Drosophila melanogaster: one gene and its partner. The protein of the gene in region 1 interacts with the protein of each later gene in a pairwise test. Each region holds a gene or a part of one and is shown on either strand. Other genes may lie near its edges.

The links.
Region 2: the proteins of CG16978 (region 1) and Tapdelta interact in a two-hybrid assay, tested with the Drosophila melanogaster proteins (one large-scale study listed by BioGRID).

What each region holds. Positions count from the first base shown.
Region 1 is NT_033779.5:13,142,228-13,145,504, forward strand, and holds CG16978 (uncharacterized protein), read right to left. Parts: upstream 1,396-3,277; 5' UTR 1,371-1,395; coding exon 1,080-1,370; 3' UTR 987-1,079; downstream 1-986. Other genes in the region: CG9928 (uncharacterized protein), read right to left, coding at 318-638.
Region 2 is NT_033778.4:11,369,127-11,373,447, forward strand, and holds Tapdelta (Translocon-associated protein delta), read right to left. Parts: upstream 2,210-4,321; 5' UTR 1,887-2,209; coding exon 1,647-1,886; intron 1,588-1,646; coding exon 1,327-1,587; 3' UTR 1,174-1,326; downstream 1-1,173. Other genes in the region: CG13204 (uncharacterized protein), read left to right, coding at 1-1,110.

The DNA of each region.
Region 1 (3,277 bases):
AATGGTATTCTAAGCTCAAAATTGGTTTCTTTTTTTTCTACTTATTATTCACCTAATTAGCATAAGCTGTATGATTAAAGATATTTAGAGAGGGGTGCTATTTTAAATCGACAGTAAAAGTGAAAAATTCTCAATGATGAAACAGGCGGAACTGATTTCGAAATGGGTCAAGGCCCATTGGATTTGTTAGATAAGATCAGTTCATAAAATAATAAATACGTTTGTTAAGTAATAAAATCTAAAGCATTTTATAATGCTTATTTCTTAATCTTTTAAAAATTCTTTTATTTAAATTGAGTATTTTAACATCGTAACATTTATCCTATGTGTATAAACTGGAATCCGCGAGCGTCTTCCTTTGAGTCTCCTGCGGATCTATCGGTATCGAATCCAGAATTCCTCACCGCATCGTTGCCCCAATTATTTCTATCATTGCCACTGTTATCCAACGATTCCAGTAGCTTCAGAGTCCTATCGTCATCAGAACTGTGAACACTATCGCTCCAGTCCAAGTTGCCACCTGAAGATCGTGTTCTTCCTCCTTCGCCACCGAGGTTTATATTCTGAAATATACCCGATGCACCGATCGCGGTATAGATTAATCCAAACAGCACCAGCAGTCGGAGAATGGATTGCATTTTTCTTTCGATTAGCTCTGGCTACAGTTGACTGAATGTCAGTCGGCTCTTGAGCTGGGCTTTTATAGCCTTGCCCTGGGTTATCAGCAGTTCTAAGTGGTTGGTTTAAAGGTGATATGTATACTTTTAGACAGAGGTGAGTGCGGGAAATTCCAGCTTAACAGCAACACAGCTTACCACAAGCTTAATTGATATACTAAACGAGCTATTAAATTCAATCTATGACTAGTATTTAATGCGTACTTAAAATCGAAATTGCGGAGTAGGCAACATTCATTATCAAAAAATGAAGATCTCTTGATTCTCTCTTGATTGATTTCATTTTAAAATTTCTAAAAACTTTCTTTTATTTCCCTTAATAATTATTATTGAAGAACTAGATTATTTACAGACAATAGGATAGCATGACTTAGCATTACAGCACTACTAAATAATTCCATATTAAGTAGCCGGTTCGGTGGTAATATCCATAAAATCCAAAGTCGTCTCATCGTCATCAAGACTTGGATAGTCAGTTGAGTTCTCATGAGCTGCATCGTTCTCCTGCCAGCGTCTGATCAGCTCGTCCATTGCATTCATGAACTCTTCGGCACTGTTGTATCCACTGCCAGATTCCTCCAAAGCATCATTGGTACCTTCCGGATCTTCAATAAGGTCGTGCGGATGGCCGGCAATTAGAGCAGCACAAATGATTCCGAATAGGAGAAGCAATGATATGATGCGGCTCATCATGCTGATCAATGCACCGCCGGCAACTGCATAGCCAGATGCAATTTCTTTCGTTTTTATATGGATCGTGTCGGTCAGTAATAAGTTCAATGGAATTCTGGAAAATCCAGTCTGGGCTAAGCCCAAGTGGCAAGCTGCTTCGATTTCCTCATTCATATTTATGCGTTGGGCGGTACTAGAGTCCCCTCTGAATCATCGCAGACCCAGCAAGAGCAAGCATTGCGCATACGACACGTTGCCACTTGCGGATCAACAGTCATGCAAATAAGTCTATGATTAATTCCAAATAATTGCTATGTCTGTTGAGAAAATTCTCGGCCATGCCAATCATCTGTCAGTTACTAGAGTTGTGTTAGTTAGCTGGGTAGTCAGAAAATGTACTCTAAATAAGGGATTATAAACTTAGCAAAGCGACTGTATTTCATCTTTCCTTGTAGGCCGATGTGAGTGCTGCCGGCAACCCTTAAATGACTTGGCTGCCAGCATCGAGCACTTTACTCCGCTTCGTTGCCTCAATCCTTCGTTGGCTCCTCCGGCACTTTATTCAATTTTCCAAAGCGCGCGCACTCAGCTGCCAGTACAACCTCACTTTGCCACCCCAAAAGACGGGAGCCCATCCACGAAAACCTGTGGTAAAAACATGCAATCTACTCACGAGGCTAATGCCCTTTTATGGCATTGGAGTGTGCCGCATCAGCAAAACGGTGCTGAATCGTTGCTGCTGTAGCTGCAGCATTCAACCATCTAACCACCATGCGAACAACACCATTAGATGGGCCACCAGACTCGATTCACGGGGGCTGCAGCTCATTATCCTCCGGGGAAGCAGACGCCCGCCCATTCACCGAATTGCTGGTGGACTTGTCTGCAAATATGTCGCTCATTTGCATCGCCATCATTGGAGTCTAAGACTGCGCCATTGAAATCAAAGTAAGCTGTTACACGGATCGTTTTTAGTCATTTCTAAAACGTTTCAGAAAATTCTTTATATAATATAAAAACTCTGCTGGCAACTGAAATAATAACCACAAATATGTTTTTAATTATTTTAATATCCTCAACTTCAATTCTATAATTAATGTATATTTTAAAAAATTTCAAACTTTTTCTGATGCTTTTGTATATTATGTCGACTTGCTAGCAAATGTCAGTCATTTAAAAATCGCCGCATACCAGCGGCGCAACAAATCAAAGTTGGTTTTGAGTTTTGTTTAGTGGTTTTTAAGCCGACATGAATACCCACTTCTAGGTGTATAGAACCTTAGCAAGTGCCATTAAAAAGATACAACTGAAATAGCCCAGGCACTCCGGCATAAAAGTACGACAGTCAGTCAAATTAACATTTCAGTCACACAATGACCTTCACCTAGAAGCCATCAAAGCGTACCCAAACGACGGCCCAGCCCTAGCCCCAAATCCCCTGGCTTCACCGGAGTCCAAAGCCAAAACCAACTTCAACGCAACGCGACCAAATAACATAAAAACCAAAGTCAATCAAAAAAAAGAGGAGGAAAATAAATATTTTTCAGCCAATGTCTAAATACCCTTTTCGAAGCTTCAATGATCAATATCATTGATAATACTGAAGTTGTAAAAATAACTCGATTTTAATTATGACCAAAAATGACATCTAATCGTTTAAATTTTCTTCATATATACCTTAAGCTTGTGGGTATATTTTTCAGTGTTACAAACCTCTTTCAAAAATCGAAGAACCCCCTGGAAAGGTAACCACAAATATATGAAAAACGAGACAAAGTCAAAGCTGGCTTTTGCTCAGTCGGTCGCGTAATTTTGTTTTCGTAGCCACTTGATTAGCACGCTCTGAGCCATGTTTAAACGTGGGCTGTTTAGCCAAACGGCAGCCGATACGCCCGACCTGGTCAAAAGCGTACCGTCCAATAGCAGCG
Region 2 (4,321 bases), on another chromosome or scaffold:
CTCAGTTCGATGACTCCACCTGCCACCAGTGGCAGTAATTCCGCCGTAGTCTTGCCCCTGCCCATCTCACCCGCATCCTCAGTCGCTGCCGCAGCTGCTGCTGTCAGCAAGGCCAATGCAAATGCCCTGGCCTCTCTGGCTAACCATCTGCCCATGGGCTTGGGCGTGAGCGGACTGGCCCAGCAGATGTTCCCGCTAGCCACGCTCAAGGCGGCGGCAGTGGCTGCTGGTCTTCCCCTGCCACCTACGATCACGCCGCCTGGTTGCAGCACCGGCAGCGCAACCAACAGCAATGTCGGTTGTCTGATCATCGAGCCGCATCTCTTTGCGGCGGCGGACAACTTCAAGAAGGAACTGACAGCGGCTGCGGCAGCTGGAGCACCTTTGGGATTGTTCCAGAACCTGGCCAACCAAGTGCAGAACGCCAATCGTTTGAACGGCAGCTGCCCGAGCTTACCCATGGGTAATCCCACTCCTCCGCCGCCGCCGCCAGCGCCACCAGCCTCCAAGGTGCGAAGGGTACAACCTTCGCCGCAAACCACGGCCATCAACCTAAGTTGCTCCGGAGGGAATTCCGTACAAACGCAGCAGCAGCAGTCAATGCAAATGCCACAAATTCAACAGCAACAACAGCCGTCGCCCGCCAAAACGCGTAAGATTTGCGATCCGCGTTTTCCGAGCGATTGGGACGTCTCTGCCGTGCTACAGGCCAACAGAGAACTTGACGCAAACACTCTTTTCTTCTTGAGTCTGGCGCGGCAGGTGCGAGCTATGCCCATGAAATTCCAGTCGCTCGCCAAGATGCGTTGCATGCGAATCGTCAGTGATTTGGAGCTAGAGCTGGAGAACTTTGATTGCAACGGTGGAGCGCCACCGCCGGATGATTCAGGCGGAGGAGGAGCTGGGAATCTCAAGTACTGCAGCATAGATACTCCGCCACCGCCGCCGCAGGACGGCTCCGTGGTCATACCCCCGCCGCCAGTCGGCCCCGAGGGCTCCACGGAGCACTTTGTGTATGTGATGTCGCCGTCGCGTGTGGAGAGCATGATAGACATCTCCTCCGACGAGGAGGCGACCATGAATGGAGCGCCCTCCACGGGCCAGGTTTAAGCGTATTCGTACAAGTTATCTCTAAATTAAAATTAAATTAATCTCAACTAGGTTCCTTCGGTTGGTCTTTCAATCAGTTTATTTTGGAGCGGCGGGTGATCCGATGCTTAGGTGTACAAAATGTGGAAAAATCTCCGGGACCCGGCAATTTGATGGTACATGACTTTAGTGCGAATGAATTTCATTCAAAATCTCGATGACGAAGGCATCCTCTACTTAGGACTGCACCTTGCCCTTGGTGGTGAAGGCGAAGTATGCGAATCCGCCGACCAAGAAGGCGGCCAAAAGCTCAGCCTTGATCCAGGGACCCTTGTAGGCACCCTTGGTGGGCACGGAAATGTCGAGCAGCGACTTCACCGATGAAACCTTGTCGCCATCCCGCTGGGCCTTGCGCACATTGGCATAGCCATCCTCGTCGAAGAGACGCACCTGAACATTGCCGCTGCTGCCCTGCTTGATATCCTCCACCCAGCTCACCTAGTGCAGAACAGAGATTAGCCTTTGCACAAAACTTGACGGGGCTACTACTGGCTCACCTGGTACTTGTTGTCGCCCACCTTGGCCACCGGCACCACCTTGCCGCAGGGGAACTCGGCGAACAGGCTGGCGGGAGCGGCTCCGCTGCACTGCAGCGTGAACTCGCCCACATGGGCCAGCTGGGTCAGAATCGTGGCATCCTGGGTGCTGAAAGAGCTCACGGTGGCCTTGCAGCTACCGTAGACGCCGGACGCACAAACGGCGGCAATCAGGCAAATGGCGAACAGTTGACGGGACATCTTGATCAAGTTATGAGGTGGTTTTTATTTAGTAATCAATGGAATAGGCGGAACTCTACGGCTATCCAACTCGGCGACCTGCGACTTTCTTTCTCTCTGGAAGCGAACGCCACGACAGCACCATACATACGTCACGTCACTTGACAGCTACGAAAATTGCCGAAGTCGTACCAGTTCGATGGTCACACTGGTCGTGACCAGGGATGGCAACGCTCAGTCGAGAATAGCTACAAAATAGCTAGTAGCCCGTGGTAAATTTTTCCGATTTTTTACTTGTTATATCTAAAAATACAGTTTTAGAAAGCGGTTTTTTGTAGTTTCCTAATGACATCTATATGTTAAGATTTCTCCGGGAATGTTTGTCGTTCGAATATGATAGCAATTAGTACGTATACGTAAATGTTATAAAATTCATATAAAATTTGTATATACAAGTATTAAAAATAAGTGCGTATACATAAAAAATATAAAAATATGGGATTCATTTTATTTGGAATAAAGTTATTACTAATGATGTCAGTCCTGTCAAAATAAATCTTTCCTAATTATAGGGGCATTGAGATATGTAGACTTAATTTCCTCCCATATCAATTCAATTTCTAGCGATTTCAATTTCAAATATATAATTTGAAAATATCGAATTTTAAATAAAAAACAATTATATTAAAGTTAAATATTAATAAATTAAATTAAATTTATAAATAAAAATATAATGACAAATAGAATTCTTCACCAACAGGTTAAATTTTTGTAGTCTTACTTTGATTAAAAGACTAAAATTCTTATTAAATTATATTTATACAAAATTGTAATGTTTTAAGGAAAAATTGCTCAGCTATGATCGAGTACCGAATGCAATCCATCACTTTGGAGGATTCTGCTTTAGATCGCTATTGCGCTGATATTAAAAACATCAAAGTGAACTTTGATCAAATTGGTGGCTTAATTTGTACTTAGGCAAATACCCAAAGTTCCTTGTCTAAAACGTCTTTGAGGGGATTCCTTTTGCAATACATTTACGTTGGGCTGACTTCATTTAAAATATGTATGTAAGTATCTATTTAATTTAAAGTCAATAGATAAAGTCCAGGCCGTTCCAGTCACAGTAATTTCGTACCGACTGCATTTCTAATTAAAATAAGTTTTCGTCTGACAGTTTTGCTATGGTACCGTTCTGTGATCGGTTACGACTAAGTCCAATATTTATGGCACTTCGATTGCAATTGATTTCGAATTGCAGCAGTGTCAGAGGAAACGGGAGTCCTGTCCAATCGTTGGGGGAGTCTTCAAAGTCGGGCCATAAGCACCGAGTATTGACTGGTGGCAGTGATTAATGCCCATCCAACTGGAATGGGGCTTTCAGCTTTGTTTTAAGTACATTTTATTGGCAATCGGAAAATCGGATACTATCGTATAAATACTTTGGCTAACAGGCATACGAATGTATGCGGATGTGACCTTGAAGTGGGCCTGATTTGGTTTTGCTTTTTTTGTTTACGGTTTTATGCCATTTTGTGTTTGTGTTTGCCGCCACCGTTCGAATCGGCTCCATTTTGCTATGTTCGTTACTTTCCTTTGATTGCCACCGCGCACGGAACTTTTCCACCGAACTTTGCATGTCTTTGATGAATTTGAAATTGTCACAAATGTGAAAGTTTTTCACTTGCCATCCCATCCGGTTGCCCATCCGCAGATACAGATACTCATACTCATACTAATACCGGCAACAACTGAATTTGCATCTAACATTTTGCTGACATTGAGCGACTTGTACGCATTTCTCCTTCCTCCTCCTCCCCTCTTCTCACCACTCTGCCAGCCTTTTTCCTGCTTCTTTTTTTTGGCTACTATTCATTCATTCATGGCCGGATTTGCATATTTGCCAAAAATGCCGTAATCCTTTCGATTAAGAGGCGTTCGGTGGGTGATTCGCAAATGAAAACAAAAGTTCGTGCGGGTTCATTGAGTCGCAGTCGAAAACTTGCCAGACCCACCGGAATTGCACGTGTCTTTGGGGGAGGAGTGGGTTGATCCGGGGTTGGCAGGTGGATCGACGGATGCATTGGGCAAAATAAAGTGCACTCTGACCGGAAACGAAATTGGTACTTAGATTGCAAACATAGAAGCAGGCGCGATTGTGTATAAGCCAAATTTTGGCGTTCTATATTCTACAATATTTTAATTTTGGGAGTTTTTCAACAACTCGCAAAAATAAATATTACAATAAACCTAAGTTTTTAAAAGTTTTTCATATAAAAAACGAACCAATTATTAACAGGATACATTTACTAATCGAGTATAATAGCTCATTTGTAAGGGACATTACCTTTTTTAATTTTTCCTAGATCACTCCAATTTCTTTCAGTGTGCTTCGGTGGATGGTTGTCTGACGTGTGGGTGTGAGCAGGAAATGGAACAAAGAACCGAACTGTAAG